Linked DNA regions of Drosophila melanogaster. The protein of the gene in region 2 purifies or fractionates together with the protein of the main gene of each other region. This does not show direct contact. Each region holds a gene or a part of one and is shown on either strand. Other genes may lie near its edges.

Region 1 (6,513 bases), on a different chromosome or scaffold from region 2:
AATAAACTAGCAGAACAAGGCATTTTTCGCGCTTCTCAACACTAGATTCTCATTGAAAGATTCTTTAGTTGTGCTGCAATTTTAGCTAAAAATTGCAAAAAGCTATATAATAATAATTTATTTTTTCCCGTGTTTTGTAATTAACGAAATATTTTTTATATTTTTATTAATCAATTCAAATTGATAAAATTTTCATTTATTCTTAAATTAAATAATGTGTAAATTAATAAAATGAAAATAGCCAAATTAATAAAATACAAGTTGAACGGCGCATTTCCCACCACTATTGCCTTCAGTGTTTTGCAGCACTTATGCATCTAAAAACAGCTGTTCGGGTAATCATTTTTTTTGTTAAAAGTTTCTGTGGAAAAACTATAACAAACGTAGTCTTAGTGTACAATGATCTGGGCTACGGGCTCCGCGTAATCCGCAGCTCACCCGGAAAGGCGTTTTACGATGAATCTACGGCCGCGATGCCGCAAGTGGCTGCCCCTAGCCACCCAGCAACTTCGACTGCGGAACCTTAACAGAATTCAGGGATTCAATATTGAGTCCTGGCCGCATGAGAAGTCGCTGGAGCTAGATGATCCGGATGATGTGCTCCTCTACTACACACTACACACGGACAAGGCTAGCGAAGCGTTCTACACCAGCGAAAAGCTGCCGCAGCGTCACCAACAGCAAAAGTGGGCGGAGATTTGTACGGACGACGAGGCCTGGCGGAAAACCAATGCGCAGTGTGTCTGTGTCAAGGTGTGGAAGCACTATTCGGCGGAAAGAAGAGATGGCCAACCGCCTGAGGTTGAGCAAAGACATAAGGATGTTTTCGGGTAAATAGGAGACTTTGCTTGCAAATAGAACTCTGCTATCATCAACCAACTTACTTCCAGAAGATCCCAGTTAACGCCCAGCAGGCTGCCACGCCCTCCTGAACTACTGTTCAGCTGGGGCGTCTACTTCTCCGGCCTTATACCTCTGTCTCCCCTCACATTGTCCCAGTGCGGACGAAATTGCTTGGTCTTTCAATTGAATGGCGAGCAATTTGCCTCCCCGTCGATGATAAGCGAGCAGGCCTTGCAGTCGCAGCTGCATTTGCACTACCAAAAGTATGCGGAGGAAGAGAAACTAGAAGAGCCGCAGGATGAGGGCATAAACTCGCCGGCCGTTAGTCGTAGTTCGAGTCCCGTGCTGCGAATGAGTACGATGCGCTATGCACAGCTGAAGTGCCAACGGCAGGAGATTCGGCGAAGCAACAACCTCGAAAAGCTTCTCACGTTGCAACGTCTGCAACGCTTGCATCAGCAGAAGCGGCGTCAAATGGCCGAGGTTTGCCGAGAAATAGCCCGCCTCAGTGTACACTGTGTGACCAGGAACGAGCTGCGCTTGAAGCCCCGCACGACATCGCTGTCCGGCGACTACTCCGCCCATCAGTACCATTCCATGGGCCGCGCCCTGAGCGTGTTGCTCGCCGAGCAGCAGCAGATCGCGCCCCTCACGCTTTATAATGCCCAGCAGCTAACTAGAAGGATAGAAGCGCTAAGCAGTCAACAGCGGCTACTTAAAGCGGAGCGGGAAACGTTTCGCCAACGAAACGAGCGCACCCGTCAACTTCTGAAGGAGATGAGAGAACAGCGGGAGGCACAGCAATGGGAGCTCCACAGCCAGCGACATCGACTGGAAAAAGAACGTCTGGAGCTACGAACCCTGGCACCTCAACATCTGGAACAGCGCGATCAAAAAAGACAAATAGAACGGCAGGTGGGGCTGCGGAATCAAATAACATTAAACAAGTATATTAATAAACCTTTTCACCCTTTTAAGGTGGAGCGCCGAATGTCCACACTGGTGTTGGAGCTACAGGAGATCTATAACATCCAGAATGTGGGCGGTCGGCAATTTAGTATCTGCGGCATCGCCTTCCCCCACATGGAGCAATACACGAGCGAGTCACGTCAGGCGGCAAACGCACAGCTTCTGGATAACGTCTCGCCGCTGGCAGTGAGTGCGGCACTGGGTTATGTTGCCCATTTGGTGCAGATGTTAGCCATCATTATGGATCGACCTCTGAGGAACCGTATTCTGTACGAGCCATCGAAAGCAAGGATAGTGGACGATATCAAAGAGTTGACGTACACAACAAGAGAGTAAGCACACAGACTAAATATTACCTTTTGGTATCTTATTGTTCCATCTTAGATTTCCTCTGTATACACGCTCCATTTTGCCGTCGCAGCAAACAAAGTATGCCATCTACCTTTTGCGCCAGAATGTTTCGCAGCTGTGCTTCGACATCACGGGCCAGTGCGATCTGCGAAACACTTTTGGCAATCTGCTGGAGCTATTCAGCACTCTTCGCTACATCGAACGAACGCAAAGGGATGAGGTCGACGAACGGGATGGAACTGCAGTTGGAGCTGGCTGTGGAGAAGCACGCTTGGCAAATGGGTTGACGGCGCCGCACCTGTCGCAATCGCACTCTTCGGTCGACATGAATCATGTGCCACTGCCGACTGGCGTCAATGCGGTCAAGGATGCACTGCTCCAGCAGCTGTTGCCGCCGGGTGTGAGTGAGGCACTGGCAATCGAAGGCTATGCGTCAACTCAACGGTAATCTATATATACATATATTTAGAGCCAAAAACAAAAACTACCGGATAAAATTTAATAATAATATATTGTAATATTCTTGCAGCATTTGCCGTTCGGTGGGGTCCTATTCAGATGGCGAGGATGAGTTTCGCCCGCGACTGGAGCATAACTATTCCAATTCGGACTCCAACATAACTCTGCAAACTGAGCGCAGCTGAGCTAATGCACCCAAAAGTGTTATATTTCCAGCGTTTATATCCAATATCCAAGATAGCATTGTTTAGCGGCTCCTCCTCAGCGGGTTTCTTGGTATTGGCCGCGTATTGTATACTTTTAAATTATAAAAGTCAATGGTGAAGTATATGTGAACGGTAGTCCATTGCGATAATATTATTTTTAGTTGTTTAAGATCTCTGTGTAAATTCCCTTTTATTGTTTGTTTGCTAATATAAGCTACGAATAAAGATTAAATATTTTATACATGACAAATATTTATTTAATATGGATGACAAACATTAGAAACACGTCGATAGAGATTAAGTCGAACAATATCCAAGGTCACAATAAACGAAGTGGTTACGATGCGGAAAACCTAAGCCTTTCTTCATATGTTCTGAAATAATGCTGAGCCCCAAAATTAGTTTATTTGTATATTCTGTTTGAAAAGTATTTTTATGAGTTTTAATTATAGTTTGAATTAGGCGCCAAAAAGTGTTGCAAAGTATGAAGATAAATTGCTCCTTTAACTTATAAAAATTATACCATGTGCTACTGTTACTACATAATATTGTACAATCTGCTTATATTAACTTTTGCTTTATAATTTAAAATGTAAGTTTTGCTTTAAATCCTTAATAAACTCAAAATATTACAGCCACTGCTTGGTCAGTGCTGCAAAACGTTCCGTTCCGTTAACAGTGGTCTGTAAAGCCAGCTGATTAGCATTTCGCCAAAATTATTTCGCTGGCAACTTGCTTCCGGGATTTGAATGTTTTTCGGGCTACATCCGGGCTATTAATAAATAAAAAATGTGTTGTCAAATACCCAAACAACGTCCAAACGTAGTGCGATAATCGATTTAATAATTGAAAACGCGAAAAGCCTGCAAACCAACGTGCTAAATGAAGTGCATGTGCATATGTGTGTGTGGCCCGGGCCTTGGCCTTTTATTTATCGAATTCGTATCAATTAAATTAAAACGCTGAGCAATAGTAGGCAATTGGTATTTATGGTGACGATTTGGTAGCCGGCAACTGTAGCCACTGATAAGCGGACGACGGGGAATGCCTGTGATTTACGCGTATATATAGTGTGTTTACCCTACCTGTTTACCGCTCAAATAAAAAATAAAAGAATAAAACTCCAGGTGTGATAAGGAGCAGCCGTCGTTCACGCCTGAAAATTGCTCAATGGAAACGTGGCAATAAGACTAACTGAGTACCCAGCATTTAATTTTTCTGAGATAATATCATCTGAAAGTGAGAGTAAAACTGCATTTCTGGTGCTAATTAGTTAAATTCAGGCGCCAAAACTCTTTCGAACAGCTCTTTTAATCAAAACTTATTACTTTAAGCTGACTACGCTTGCTCTCTTTTAAGCTCTCTTGTTTTGAAAATGGCTGAGAGCAATGTACCGCTACGAGATTTCGACGAAGAGAGCGAAACGGATTCGGAGACCGAATTGCTCATACGCCGCGATGTACCGAGCGGTAAACAGAACAACAACAACATTAGGGGGCGACGCAAAAGCTCCATGGGCTACAGCGGCGTCGACGCCGGCGCTGGCAGCTCTGCCGCCGGCGGCGGAGGCAGCTTTCTGGGCAATCTTTTCGGATCCAACAGTTTTGGCTCTGCCGCCGGCCAGATACGTTATAGAAATGAGCGGAGTCGCGAGCGCGCCAAACACTCAAACGGTAGCTACAGCAGCATTTCGAAACTGGCGCAATTAACGCACACGTCATCGGGCGTCGCGGGGGCGGGATCGATCGGTGGCGGTGGTGGTGGGAGTGGCAGTGCCACCGGCATTAAAGTAACCACTGGCGATGGCAGTGTAGCGGCATCTGGAGGATCTGCTGCCACGGGGGATCTCAGCAATGGCGCTACGCACAGCACAACCGTCATAGATCCGGAAAATGGCTCATCCACGGTCTTCTACCAGCACAATCGGCGTAAAAGCAAGAGTCGCAGCATTGGCAACGTCTGCAAGTTGTGCCTCTGCAGGTGAGTGTGCATTCGGTGCGATCCAGTCGTTACCCTCCAATGCCAACGCTGCGTATGCGCAATATTTCCATTTCACTGCTGCAATAGTTGGCGGCAGCGGGAGTAATGCGAAAGTATATAGTGCCGCAACAGCTGTTCACTGGCCAGCAAAATATTGGGAATTCAAGTGTTACCTTTAGGGAAAATGGTTAAATGTTTTATATTTTCGCACATAAGCGTTTAATGGCGATTGAGACCCTTTTACTTTTACCACAAGGTATTGAATAAATTATAACTATAGCAGGAAGCAAAAGTTTTAATCTATCACATTAAGACCTCGAAAATTTGTATATTTTTGAAGAAATATTATCTCTTATCGCTTCAATTTAAATGTCTTATGAAATAAATTAGTTTTGTGGAATTTTATAATCTGTGTTTCCGTAGATAGTTGACTTTGAACGTAGAATACCATTGCTCATAAAATGCTGACAACACTAGGTATAAAACTGTTTTTCATCGTAAACTTCTATAAATAATTGAAATGTATATTAAATATTTGGCAAGAAAAAACGTTGACCTCTGTAACGTTCTAGACATTCTATCACTTTCGCAACTCAACAGTTGTTATGGCAAACAAGTTGTTGTTTTGTTTCTGCCACTTGAAATATTTGTTTATTATTTTTTGGCATGAGCCAAATCATTGTGTGGTTTCCCAAAATGAGCAGCGTTGTCTTGCAATTTGATGTTCTTCTTAACTTAGAACTTTTACGAAACACATTTCCAAGAAAATAAATTCTAGCTGAATGTGTGAGAATTTGTGCGCCACACATGTGTGACATACACAATGAATGCAACTGTATGTAAAGCATATATGTATAGCATATATATATAACGATTCCAAGATATATTTTTAATTTACCTAATTAGAGAGAACTTTTGAGAAAGGCCGCACATGCGAACAAGCAAGCACGTCTGTAAGTGGATCGTAGAAAGAAAATTAAAAACATTTCGTTTTCTGCGCGCCGTCGACGGACTGTGCAAATCGATAAACGTGACGACTTCCAAGACTGGGGGAAAAGATTTCGACGAATGGAAAATAATAACAAAAACACGGCTATAAATAGTGGCCAAGACGAGCGACTTGGTTGGGTGACAAGGCATAAACGAAACGCAAACATTGCCATCCATGCCCCGCCTTTCCTTGCCATTTCCTTGCTCCACACCCACTAAGCGAGCGTTTTTCTTATTATTTTGTTTTGTTTTTGTTTTAGAGTACAAACTCTTGTTGCCGCAAAACTTTGGCCAAAAATATCACACACAACACCACCCGTTAGCTGTGCATTTTTAATCGATGTTTGCCGTGCGACTTTAAGCCCCATTGGTGGGCGAACGAAAATAAGAAACATGAACGAAAACGACTCAAGAAGTCACCAAGAAATGCTAAAAAATTCGAAAACCAGTTCCTCAGCTGGTTTTGGCCACACAACACAATCTTGTATTCAAGGTTTCTAAAAAATACAAACGAGTTGCACACAAGAAGTGAGTCGCTTTAGGGTTTTTAGTTTTACTTTTTCGGTCGGACTCTGCTTTCTGTGTTAAAAATTGAAAGTTTCTCTGCCGCCCAACTTCAAATAATTGCAGCATAGATCTGCAGATTGATATGGTTATTTAAACTTCTAAATTTTCTATGTTGACAAAGCGTTTCCTTATGTGAACATCTATTTGT
Region 2 (8,214 bases):
CTTTGGTCACCGAAATTCCCGCGCTGATTGATAAGCGCCATCATCAGCATCATTACCGCCATTATCATCCGCTTCCACTCGTCCCAAATTGATATGCAAAGTGTAAGCAAAGTCCGTGTTACTAACACCTGGTCCCGAATCCCCCACCACCACTGCGCCCTCTTGGCAGGCGAATCACCTAGCTCGGGTTCCACCCTCCGCCACCCTCCACCTTCCATTCCGAACCGAAATTTAATTAACATTTTTAATTCCTCCACTTGGCGCGGCCAAAGAAAGCCCTTCCACCACTTTCCTTGGCGGAGGGGGGGGGGGTATATTATTAATAGATTCAGCTAAAAAAAAAACAGTCTAATTAGAAGCTTAGTCGTTCCACAAACGAGGATCTAATGTCTCTTTCCTGAGGAGAAAGTGAGTTTAAACACAAAATGGGTATTCAAATTTGAAATCAAATACTTAGCAATATACTTAGATGTTTTGAGAAATCAATTTAAAATCAATCAGTATATGGTAACTAATTTTATTAAAGCAGCATAAAAAGCCATGCATTTATGATATCACAAGATATAATTAAAATAGGCTTATGGTGTTTAACCTCATATCAAATGTATGTACACAATAAAATGAATATTCTTTCAAAAGTGTCACTTTAATTCGTTTTTATTTCCCATTCATTGCCTTTAGACCACCCAATTTCTCTCTCTTTACTCTTGGTATTCGATGTATGGATGTGCAGAAATCATTTTGAAATGGATCGTCTGTCCAATGAACCCGGTCTTTCCAGTGAGTGTGCCGTGCCCTGGTCAGTCCGCTCACTTAAAGCTGCAGTGTGGATGCCATTATATGGACGTCTTTCCCTACTCCCATGCAACTCTTTGCCTTCTTCCCATTGCCCCCGACTGTCTTCACTTCTCCCAACCGCTGACAAATTCGCTTGGGGCTACTCTGCTAAAATTCCATTGAGTCCCCATACAATCCCATACAGAAGCATAAGCACTGCCACTGCTACATCCACGATGACCGCGCAGTTTTGGGGGCTATTTGCATGGGGACACCTATTTTTAGCTAGACAGTGGAGCAATGACTCTTTTATGCCCCGCGAGTGCGAATATGCCATTGGTAGCAAGCCGAACTGATTTTGATCGTTCTTGTGCCCTATAAGGATCAGGATCATCCAATCTAGGTTTCTTTAATACTAAAGAGCTGTATGCTCCGTGGTGACCTGTGCCACCTACGAGTATAGCCTTAGTTTGTTCTGCCGGCCAAAAGGCCATTCCAACTACTGAAGAACATACATACTCGTACATGGATTTGAGACCACCGAGAGCTGCCCTTCAGAAACACACACACATTTGTGCGGCGGGTGTAACCATGCCCATAGGAGGCAATCGGTCTTGTGATAGGGAACACTTCCGACGACCTTGATCCGAGCACAATTTGGCCCCACTCATTAAGGCGATGTGCACAACGTACGCGAGTGTTTCAGATTAATTAAAGCAGTCGGGCCAAGCCAAACAGCGTCACCATCAGCCGAGAAATACCGACTGGCTGTCTGAGCCCCGCCACCCACGGCCATTGGTACCTAATCAGATATGTATGTATATCGATGCTACTGGGAATTTGACTGTGCCTGGGACTGTTGTTTCTACTGGGAAAGTGTCATGGCATGGGTGAAACACATTTAACGCCTCGAGCCATAAATTACGAGCCGTGCCAGCAGCAGTGCTGACAACATAAATCTGAATTAGTGGCAAGCGGGGCAGCAAGCAACAAACAAAACCGAGTATCGATCTCACGATCCGTGGTCACTTAATGCCGGTACCTCGTAAATGGTATTCATAACTCTCACCCGCTCCACCAGGGATTCGGCGCGGCGCGCGAAGGAGGCGCGTTTATCGGCAATGGACATGGTTGGACTGGGGCTCTGGATGCGGTTCAGGATCGGTGACTGGGACTGGGCTATCCGGAAGATACTGGGAACCGACAAGTCACGCGGGGGTGTAGGTATCACCGGGGAACGCAGCTGAAATGAAAAGAGGCAGAACTTTAAACAGGCTGTTATCTATCTAAGGCACACGATCGATATGGTTTTAAGTCTGTAATAACTAAGCAAATATCGCACGGCACACGCTAAGTCGAATCATATGCAAATACAGTGGACATCAACAAGACCCAATACCAATACCAAATACTAGTTGCTAGTGCAAGTACAATCTATGCAGGAGCCATCTTGCTAGCCGAATTCCTTTTATTTCTATTCTTAGGGTTAACCAATTGGTTTATAGTTCATATAGCATTATTTGCCAAAAAAAAAAAATATATATATATATAATGGCAACATTCGAGGTGGAGGTCCCGGCCCCAAAAGTCATGAAATCTGCCGCGTATGTGTTTTCATTTTTGGCGAAAACAAAGAAAGACTCGGCGATGAAATGCAATTAATATGCAAGTGCCACTCATTGTGATGGTACTATTCTGGTCTATTACCTTATGGACCGAATCGCAATTATGGCGCAACTTCAACTTTGGACTCGAAAGTGTCAGCCACCGAGCTCAGCATAAATATTCGAGCGGAAATTATCAACAACTGACATTAAAATCGGAGCGGGAAAGACGCGACTTTCGGCCGGAGACGATCGCATGCGATGAAAACGCGTCCAAGTCGGAGGAATACCGCCGTAGAACTGATGACACACCCGGGCCGAATGCTCGACTTTTGTAGCGTAGCGAGCATAAAGAGAGTGCGTTGAAATGGGAAATTCATTATTTTATTTTTAAACGTCGTCGCCCTCTCTATTTTCGCAGATTGGCTTTTCCTCGCTTGTTTCTTGTTTCGTGGCAGATTGATTTATGGATTTCGGTGCAACAGGTGCTGGCCAGTTGACAGAGCGCCGAAAGTCCGCCGGACACACCCACTGCTTCCAATCTGGAAAACTGATTGGGACACAAAGCTGCATCCAATTTGCATAATCCCATCAAAGAGCACTTGCACCCAATTATGATAATTTCGGCTTGACGCACTAGGCATTATTGGCTTCGAAAAATTGGAACTGCAGTTCAAATTCAAAAACAAGGTACGGAGAAACTAAAACAAGAGGGAACGCTACAGGCGAGTTCCCCGACTATTAGATACTCCTTTCTCTGCTAGTGAAAGTTCAAACATGAATTTCAACATTTTCTGACATAGCAATAAAACTAAATTAATCTCTCTTATATATGTAGTTCCTGAGATCTCGACGTGCATACGGACGGACATGGCCAGTTCGATTCGGCTAGTGTTCCTTACCAATATATGCTTTATTGGCTCGAAAAACACTTCCTTTCACCTGATACATATTCGTTGAAAAAGGAATCTAGAATACTTCTTTTTTAATCTACGAGTAATATTTTTCATCGCGACCCGTTCATTAATCATTAATCATTACTAAATCTTACTAGTTCTGCCATTTGGTCTATAAGACATATTGGAATTGGAATGCAATTCAATTCATTTTAGTCTAGCGTTTGTACTTTTAGTAGAAATAATTCTCATATGGATGGAAGATTTCAATCGGAGTATTAAAACCAGCCCTCATTTTCTAAAATCGTGCAAAAAAGATATGAAAATTAAAGTATTAAGTGCCATTAATGCCATTAAGAATAGGTTTGGTTTTATTTTTCACCAGCCCACTTTTCAGATTAGCAATGCTAAACTCTCAGCATTACCTTTAAAAAATCGTTCTCATTTGCGACTAGTTCGAATATCTATCTACATTCTGCCGAAACTAACTAGAGAAAAACTGAAGTTCTACGTATGTAAGTATAACACATTTATTCTACACAGCATTAGCGAGGTTACACACCTAGCGAAGTCATCCTCCCAATTAAAATTTCCCTAAGCGGAGCTAGTCACCACGACCACATTGCCACTTTATTAAAACTAATAACTGTTTAATAACTGTAATAGAATAAGTTAAAATAATTAAATAATATGACTAATCACGTGTTGCTAATACAGTTAAAAGGCTAATTATTTAATTTAATTAATGTTTTGTAAACAGTTTCCATGCAGATGTATTAATAGTTTCCATGGCAGACTTTCTGAAAATGAACATTCTAAAACTTAGCGGAATTTCCCCTCTCTTTCTAACGGTTATTTGCTATGCTTTCAAGCGAAAGTAATCGATGGTAGCGAGGAGCGTATCGATGTGCGCCAGTTTTTTGGTGGCAGCGATGGTATCGCACACACATCGATTCTAGTGCCAGCCCTATTTTTTGTGCAATTATTTATTAAAAATAAGCAACGACGTGAGCGAACGACACGACCCACGAACGAAGGCAACGAAATGGCAACGCGCGGCGGACCAATGGTCGCGGGCACCGATGGCAACGACTTCGAGTTCAGGCAGCGCGTAGCTGGCACATATCAAATTAGGTTAATAACACTTCGTGCTATCGCCAGCTCTCAGCTACACTCGAAATTATCTAATTACTGGGGCGCCTGTGGCAGTAGATCCACCTGCAGGCGGCACCTACTGCAGCCGAATCGCAGGTGGCGTCCAGCCAGGGCGGCGGAGCACCCTGGAGCTGCTGCACCCACCCACTTGCTGCTGTAGGGGGCGGGTGGGCAAAGTGCCAGCTGGGCAGCATGTGCGCCCCAATATGGGGCTCACCCACACAGATCCGCCACTGAACGACCACTTTCTCTGCTCTTTTAGCCTGCTGAACAAGTCCAGGTTGAAGTACTGCATCTTCTTTCACGCCCTGCTGTTCTTCGTGATGCTGGCCAAGCTGACGTCGGACATTCTGGACCACCTGGATATCTTTGTGCTGGAGATCGAGGAGCTGGAGGTCCCACCGCCCCTGTGGTGGGAGTACGTGTGGGCCGCGTCGTTGCTCACCTCCTTCCTGGGCCTTTCGGCCGCCAGGGGCAACAAGGTGCGCGAAATGCAGAAGTATATGGTGGCCATACTGCTATTCGCCATCCTGCCACTCTTCTACTGCTTCGCCTACTACTTCTCGGACGTGTGGGAGTTCGCCACGCTGGACAAGTCGGTGGAGCTGGACGAGACAGACATCTTTGTGTGGCGCGTAAGTGGCTGGGCCAGTTAATCCCTCAAGAGCCGCCCTACTAAACCTCGGTTTTTCTACAGGGTTATCCGTACGGCGTCTTCTGGTATGCCTTCTGCTTTGTGGGCTTCCAGGTGCACGGATTTACGCTGTACTTCGCCTACAACCTGGTCAAGGCCTGGAAGGCCAGAACTGCCACGCGCAAGTTCCAGTAATCTAAATACTCGCCAAACTAGTAAACGCCGGAATGCAGGGCTAGTTGTAAATAATTTGGAAACTTGAAACTAACTCAAAACACTAGTGCACAAAAGCGTAATGAAACTATGGTAAACTAAAGTTATGCAGCTGTTAAGGTATCGCACACTTAGTCATACAGGAAGGGAAACATATGGTCGAAACTGAGCGAAGCGTCGGCGGTAAGGTTATTGTTAGTTGAAAGTTAGTTGATACCGTTTTCAAATTGATTAAATAGACTCTTATCCATATACACATGTACACCTATACACATAGACATACATATATACACACATACGCAGCCTTGTGAGGTCAACTAAAGACAAGAAGCAACTGAAGCCACCAAATTTCCCCGAGTCGGAATAAAAACTGAAAACCAACCTAGAGATCACTTCATTTTTGCTCACTTACATTTCGACGTGCCTCGTGTTTGTTAGAAACGTTTTATATATATATTTACACATGAAAATATGCGTACATCAGTTTATGTTTGCGTCCACGGATGGTTACTTCCTCGCCTAGTTGATAATTAGTTCACTTTTCTACAAATTTCGAAACCGTTTCATTTTTGCCAGTACGTTAATTTTGAATTTTATTCATCGAACCGCACAGTGCCATGCTTTAAGGCGTCTGGCCGGGTGCTGAACGTTTGAGAACTGCCCCAAACTATTTACAACCTTCTGTCACTGTTTACACACTACTATAAATAAGGATTGAAATGCAATTTGAGTGTTAAAGCAAAGTTCTTCAATTTCTGATCGTCAATAATACTGTGTAATGACAGGCATGTCGCCAAACTAAACTGAGAATTGAATTTTAATGTAATGATGTTTTTTAAATCGTAATTTATTATTCGAATTTTTAAGTAGTTTTTTAAAAATCGATCAATAAAGATGCATATATATTTGTTCTTCTGAGTGGGTTAAACATAGCATTTTATTGCGGTTGATTTAAAACAAATTTTGATAAGTATACCTATTAAGTCACTTAATGTTTATATGCTCATCTACAATATTTATCATAACTTTAAAGAGGCAAATACAAGTTCTCAAGCTTTATTTCTTGAAAAACACCACCAAATAAGGACCTTCGCCCAAAGCAATACAATCCAACACAACCCCACAGGCCGTTGCAATGCGGCTGGCAGGCCGAATTGGCCACAACAATCCAGTTTTAGTGACCATTTGTGCATCGAGGCGAGTGGAGGAGCAACAGCAGGCGAGCATTGCGCAATTGTTTACAATTGGCGACGGAGAGCCAGGAAGCTGAGACAGAGAGAGAAAAAGCTGTGGCGGAGAGCCAAAGCTTTTCCGCAGCATCCTTTTCTCCCTGCTCCGCCCGCTCTCTTAATTTTCCATTTGTACATTGCCTGTGCGAAGAACGGATGCCGAATTTTCCAACACACCATTTCGGACCGAAGTAAACACGAAAACTAAGGAAAAAAAATTGTGAAAAATTCAAAATTACGAAATTACTCGCACTAAATTTAAATAATAAACGACTGGTGGAGCAAAATGCGGGTCGAGGAGGCGACCTATAGGCGCACCACGCGCGAGAAGATTGTGCTGCGAGGGAACACCACCATACGCACCGTGGACTCCACTTCCACATACCTGCCCGTGATGAGTCCTGCGGGGTGAGTGCTTCGCAACGGCAAAGGTCCAAAAGGGTGGGTGCCAGTTGGAGGCGCAAGGCGTGCCGAGACACTTGAGCGTTCCATGACTGTCGCCCCGCAATCGATTTTTATCTCGCGCTGCAGCTGATTTTTAGATACATATACAGATACTATATGTGTGTGCGCGCATCCGAAACGGCCTTCGCTTGTGGCTCACCTCCGGATTATCGGGTTCTGCCTACATGCACATTGAAATGTGGACGAACCACTTCAAGCCTCCTAATGGCGGTGCTCTCAAACGTATGCTATAGTTTCTGGGTCCTCGGGGGAGGCCAACTCAAGAACCGGCTTTCTTTGGCCGCATGCAAGCCTGCCATTAAATTACATTGCCGGCAGATTATTGGGAAACCACTGCCGTTTGAGTAAATAGTCGGGCATACGCGAGTGAGTGAACGCCTTGCTTTCCCCAGAAATCGATGAAATCTTGAGCCAGAAGCTAGCGTGCATTGACCACAGTCCAGCGCGTTGGGTAACCCGAGGAGTTGAGAGTGCTGTGGGCTTACATAGAAGCACGAATGTCCTTTAGACAATGAGGAAACTTCGATAAGCAACTAGACATTAGTAGAAATATTATATATTTCATTTATTTATATATTGTATATATTCTTTTTTTTACCTATCAATAGCTATATACAAGGAGCATATAAGCAGAACAAACATAAACCCATTAAACTGAAATCCATATATTTGAATTTCAATCAATATTTAGAAAGATGGCATTTCCTAGCTCCGATCGGCGATTTCTTTATTTTCCCCCAAGTCGAGATACTCTTTCCCCGTAATTTACCATGATTGAAACCGCCCCCCAAAGTAGCGCCCAAGCGAAACTTCCTTTAACCTCAATCCGCATTCACACGGACGCACACCAGGCAACTGGGAAAACTACCCGGTCCGGTCCGTTCCATACCGGAATGGTAGTGGTGGTCGGTTTGTTGTGGACGCGTCGTCCAGTCAAGCGGTCAGTTTCAGTTGGACTGCAACCCTCGAGTCGGCTGGTCGGGTCGCGTTTTCGAACTCCGAGTGCGAGCCAATCGAAGGCTCCAGGCGCAGACTGTCAGGTAGCAAAGTTTCCGCCCGAACATATCCGCGTGTGTTTTTAAATTAATAGTGAAGTGTCTGTGTCTCGTCCTAATCTGTGTGACGCCGGCACAGCGCCATGTTCAACACCAGTGCACAGAATTGGTTCGGCATGGGCCAGACAGCCGTGGATCCGAGCGGCGGAGTGGCCCAGTTGCTCAACAACAATTCGAGTCTCTACA

What was found.
Region 1: the proteins of jagn (region 2) and CG31729 purify together in Drosophila melanogaster (affinity purification with mass spectrometry, with the first as the bait; one large-scale study listed by BioGRID). This does not show direct contact.

The regions. Positions count from the first base shown.
Region 1 is NT_033779.5:13,286,484-13,292,996, forward strand, and holds the start of CG31729 (uncharacterized protein), read left to right. Parts: upstream 1-3,513; 5' UTR 3,514-4,203; coding exon 4,204-4,808; intron 4,809-6,513. Other genes in the region: Uvrag (UV-resistance associated gene), read left to right, coding at 457-830, 891-1,758, 1,822-2,144, 2,197-2,607, 2,693-2,807.
Region 2 is NT_033777.3:5,775,106-5,783,319, forward strand, and holds jagn (jagunal), read left to right. Parts: upstream 1-4,209; 5' UTR 4,210-4,322; coding exon 4,323-4,411; intron 4,412-4,694; coding exon 4,695-5,067; intron 5,068-5,129; coding exon 5,130-5,261; 3' UTR 5,262-6,203; downstream 6,204-8,214. Other genes in the region: kat-60L1 (katanin p60-like 1), read left to right, coding at 8,112-8,214. UniProt on the Drosophila melanogaster protein: Required for endoplasmic reticulum organization and proper vesicular traffic during vitellogenesis. Required for oocyte and bristle growth.